Kluyveromyces lactis: one gene and its partner. The protein of the gene in region 1 interacts with the protein of each later gene in a biochemical or structural test. Links are inferred from orthologs where the notes say so. Each region holds a gene or a part of one and is shown on either strand. Other genes may lie near its edges.

What was found. The genes of interacting proteins can lie anywhere in the genome.
Region 2: the proteins of PEX4 (region 1) and PEX10 form a complex in vitro, tested with the Saccharomyces cerevisiae proteins (2 studies listed by BioGRID). The link is inferred for Kluyveromyces lactis from reciprocal best matches to the Saccharomyces cerevisiae genes PEX4 and PEX10.

The regions. Positions count from the first base shown.
Region 1 is NC_006041.1:364,593-366,657, forward strand, and holds PEX4 (E2 ubiquitin-protein ligase peroxin 4), read right to left. Parts: upstream 1,004-2,065; coding exon 527-1,003; downstream 1-526. Other genes in the region: KLLA0_E04005g (RidA family protein), read right to left, coding at 1-296; KLLA0_E04049g (pepsin-like aspartic protease), read left to right, coding at 1,943-2,065. UniProt on the Saccharomyces cerevisiae protein: Catalyzes the covalent attachment of ubiquitin to other proteins. Essential for peroxisome biogenesis. Required for UBC4-independent ubiquitination of PEX5.
Region 2 is NC_006041.1:1,480,813-1,483,413, forward strand, and holds PEX10 (ubiquitin-protein ligase peroxin 10), read right to left. Parts: upstream 1,478-2,601; coding exon 560-1,477; downstream 1-559. Other genes in the region: E3 ubiquitin-protein ligase HEL2, read left to right, coding at 1-480; SHE4 (She4p), read left to right, coding at 1,693-2,601. UniProt on the Saccharomyces cerevisiae protein: E3 ubiquitin-protein ligase component of a retrotranslocation channel required for peroxisome organization by mediating export of the PEX5 receptor from peroxisomes to the cytosol, thereby promoting PEX5 recycling.

The DNA of each region.
Region 1 (2,065 bases):
AATTCTTTGAAAACTTTGTTAACGATACCAGCGTAACTACCATCGGAAACGAACAGCAAGATTTTCAAGACCGAATCAACAGAAGATCCAGATACTTCAAGCACTTTCTTCAAATTGATCATGGAATTTCTAGCCTGTTGTTCCAAATCCTCAGGTAGTTCATTGGTAACAGGATCTGTACCAACACAACCACTACTGAATAGTAACTGATTCCCCGATTCTGTAGCGAACCCAGGTGAAATTAATGGGAACCCGTCCTTAACCCCAACGTCTTTCCATGTAATCTTTCTAGCCATTTCTCTTTCGATAATCAAGTGTCTCCACCCCGCGAACAATAGGGAAGCTAGGCAAAAAGAAAGTACTAAGTCAAAGTAACATACATTTGTGTATAAAACATGTACAAAGGAATATAAGTTGCATCATTTCCATCATTTAATCCTTTTTCAATCATTCCTATTCAATTTCACTGCAAGGAAAAATGAAAAATCCAGCCATGTTGCTGTGTATTTCTACGTAAAAGTCGTACTCAAACGCGTGCCAACCGCGCCTCCTCAAGTCTATACCTAACAATCTGCACGTAGGCTTCATAGTCAGCATCGTATATCTGGGCAATGTCTAGATCTAGTGGCGAGTCCAAACCAGGGTCTGCCAACAAATCTCTTATAGCTCCAACAACATCTAGCAAGGTATATATCGGGGTCCATGCATCTTTCAAAAGATCTAGGCAAATCTCGCCCGTGTCCCACTTCACGTTAGGGTGAGCCACGGTACGTGGCTCAAACAGAACCCGAGGACCGCCACTGATCGGATACTTTTCCAGATCTATGGTAATGTTCAAACCCAACTCAAACCCTTCAAACGGCGATTCTGACGGGCCTTGGAATCGACATACCCATTCGGATAAGTCATCATCATCTACCGGTGCAAGAAAACTGATCCATGAGAATTCAGGGGTCTGCAACCGTTTCTGCAACCCCATATACTCCTTAACAATCCTACTCATCTTCGATCTTTAATTTCCCATGTGTGTGTGTGTTTGCATGCATGCGTGCTTGCGTGCGTGCAAAGACCGTCAATCAATCAATCACGTCACAGAATTGAACCAAATTGAATAATTTTCAGTTCTTCAATAAGATATAGGAAAAAAATTGCAGCAAATCACCCTTTCGGCGATGGAGTGCTCAGGCAACAAAGTTGTCAAAATTTCTTCACCCAGTTACTGCGTATTACGGGTATTACTGGAGAGCCAGATAACTTAGTGGTCACCAAATTGCCAAAACGCTTCAAATGACAACTCAAAATAAACCACGTCCGTAACCTAGTTACCCAGATATACTTCACAGGACAGACCCTGAGGAGAACGTAGCCAACACAACTACACAACTACACATTGCTCTACATTCTACAGAGTAAAAAACATACTCGTCATCGATGGGGCTTGGCCCGTTACGCTCCCATCTGCATTCACGGTGTGTCCTCAGTTCTTTTTTTTTCTTGCCTCGTTTCATTTCTATATTTAATCGTTGACGAAATGCCCCGCTCTATGAAGGCTTGTGCTTGTTTCCCGTGTCGAAAGTTGGCGATGTGGGAACTTTGAAACGTTGAAAAAAAAAAAAAAAAAAAAGGAAGTTCTATGAAACTTGCCTTATTATAAAGGTTTTTTTCCCACGATTAAACGTACACTGGAAAATGTTTCTACCCATCTTGCATTTCACATCACGTACCTTCTCTCCTAAAAGTTTGAGGTAACTGACTCATTGAATTGGAAAGAAAACAGCGGCTATTGTCTTAGCGTATATATATAAAGGGTCTTTTCATTTTACAGAAGACGTTATACTTTGGCTGACGTCTTTTTTTCTTTAATAATTAAAGTTCATTTCTTGGTACTGGTTACTAATTCCCCCTTTTATTATCCAAGGCGCATATATAGCAAACACCAGCAATGAAGTTAAGTGATGTTTGTTTGGGGGCGCTGTTGGCGTCCCTTGGTTCTGCTGGGTATATTACGAAACGTGACGTTTCCCAGGTCGGTGAGGCGAATAAGAAGCATGTCTTCATGTCTTTT
Region 2 (2,601 bases), about 1.1 Mb from region 1:
AAGAGTTCTTCTGGTGTTGGCGGGTCGAACGTGAAGTTCACGTCTCTACCAGCTGTATCCGAACCTATATTCTCCTCCAAAGCCTCGTATACTAATTTGCGGAAAAATGGCTCTTCTTCACCGTCCTCTCCAGTTATTAGGAGCGGTTTGACTTCCAATTCATCGTCATCAACTTCTTTAAACTATGCGAAGAAGAATCAATCACCGCCAGGTTCTTCAACCGTTGTAGTGAATTCACAACCGAATGTGACAGCTATCAAATCACCTAATCCAACCAGCTTCCCCAAGTTACAAGCTACTAAGAAAAAATTTGTTGCACCTCCAGTGAAACAGACTACCATACCAAACCCATCCACTTGGGGTAAGCCTCAAAACGACAACGATTCTATCAACTTGGATTCGTTAGACAATGCATTACCAGCTAGTGGTAGTAAGAAAAAGAGCAAACAAAAACAACTACTGTTCCATATTGGCATATAGATTTAACCCCGTTATATACAGCAGATTGTTTTAATAATACAAGAAAGCTCGCTGAAACATTTAGATATTCTTCTAAGCTTTATCTAACAGGTATCGTCAGCTGTCTCGGACACCTTTGCCTGCATAATGGACACTCCTGTCTTTCTAACGTCCATTCCATGATACAATCCCAGCAGAAAAGGTGACCACACGGAGTCGCGCTGGGATCCAGCATATAGTTAAGACATAAAACACACTTACGTGAATCCTCTTTGATGAAAGGTAGGACTTCTAGATCGCTAAGATCTTTTGAGGTGTGTTTTTTAGCTAATGCACTTAAACTCTTGTGGCTCTTCCCATCATCTGTTCCAATTCTGTCAGCGATGTATTCTGCAATCTGCGGTAAAAGCTTAGAAGCTAATTGCATACCAAGTATAAAACCAAGAATCTTGTAGTTTTGCGATGACTTCTTCTTGAATTCTACCTCATTCTTGTTCATTTCATGGCCAACCACATATCTCATTCCAAATATTCTCTTTGAGATATCATAATACTGTCCGCTCAAGTAGAATATAATTAAGTGCAAATTCAAAGTGGAATCCAAGATGTCCCTGAAACTCTTGCCATTGAATACTTTCAAGAAACCAGATCCCCTCTCATTGAGCTTATACTTGTAGAATACTTTCGATAATATCCACGGTACCCCACAATAACTGATAGCGAAACCAATCCTTCGCAGGAGTCTCGCAACACCTTTTCCTCGCCTATCAACATACGCCAAATCAACGTACTCTTCTCCAAGCGTTCTCCTATACCTTAGTGTTGTAATTGACAAGTATATCAACTTGCTGAGGATCATTATCTCACTAACATACCTGTTAGTGAACTGTTGTCCCTTAACTTTCCGTAGTACATCCTGGATCTTTTGTAACAGCAAGTTTTCCACAGTATCATCCTTTTGATGCGCCTGAACTATACTAGGTGCATCAGCAAATGGGAACTTCATGTCTGGTGCCATTGCTTGTCTCTCGTCAGTTTGTGTTCTTATTCGTTTTTGAAGATGTTAGATGGTTGAAATTGATCAATTGGAGAAATGAAGTTTTATTTGATTAATCATAGGGTTCGAAACCAGAGATAACTAAACCCGATCTAACATACAGTTGTTTGGGCTGGTACCGATAGTTCAATTCTGTGAATTTATTCTTTTTGTAATTCAATAAAGATATCAACGCTATGAATAAAGTTTGGGATAGAATTGTTGGCAGTGATAGTGCCGATGCTCAAAGTGTATTGAAAGAAAGATGTTCATCTCCGAAGGACGTGACGGATTTGTTGCACGTTATTCAAAACTGGACCTCAGAGATACATAACAATGGCGAGGAAACACGATGCTGGAAGTGTGTGCCGATGCTTGCCGGTTATGTGAAGGATTGGGGTCAATTGGAGTTTCTTTGCAGAAGAATACTTTTAAGAAGTAGCATACAAGAGATACGGCCATTACTTCTTGTAACGATGAAATCGTTGATGTCCAACCATTCAGATAATACGGAGCAGAAGTGTGGGAATATACTACAACAATTGTTAATTGAAGCCGAGGAAGATTCTGGCAATGTTTCTTTACGTTTGCTTGTAGATGCTATGTCTTTGGTGTTCCCTATCTGCCTTGGCGTTTGTAGAGACATGTTTCTTTCGACAGATTTCCAGGACATATTGACTAGGAATTTGAATTCTTCAGCGGATGATGAACATCTTGTAAACGGGGCTCTTCGTCTCTTGGCTGTTTCCTGTATTGACGAAGCAGTCAGAAGATTCATTGCAGAGCATTACCTTAAGACGTTACAACAATCATTTAAGGTCGAGAAGTATAAAGTACTGACTGCGTTGGTTTTGATCAAGATCTGGTCATTCACTAAGATAGAAAAGGAAACTCTTAACTCTTGCATCAACCTTTTCATCGACTCGCTTTCGAATGGCGAAAATATCGAGATTAATACTGAAGCTTTAGCTTACTTGACATTGAAGCCCTCTGTCAGAGTCTTGCTACGAGGTAACGGTGATGTATGTTTGAAAATAATCGAGCTGATCAAGTCACAGGACACTACACCGACTGATCTATACGGACTCTTGATTATATTAGCAAAC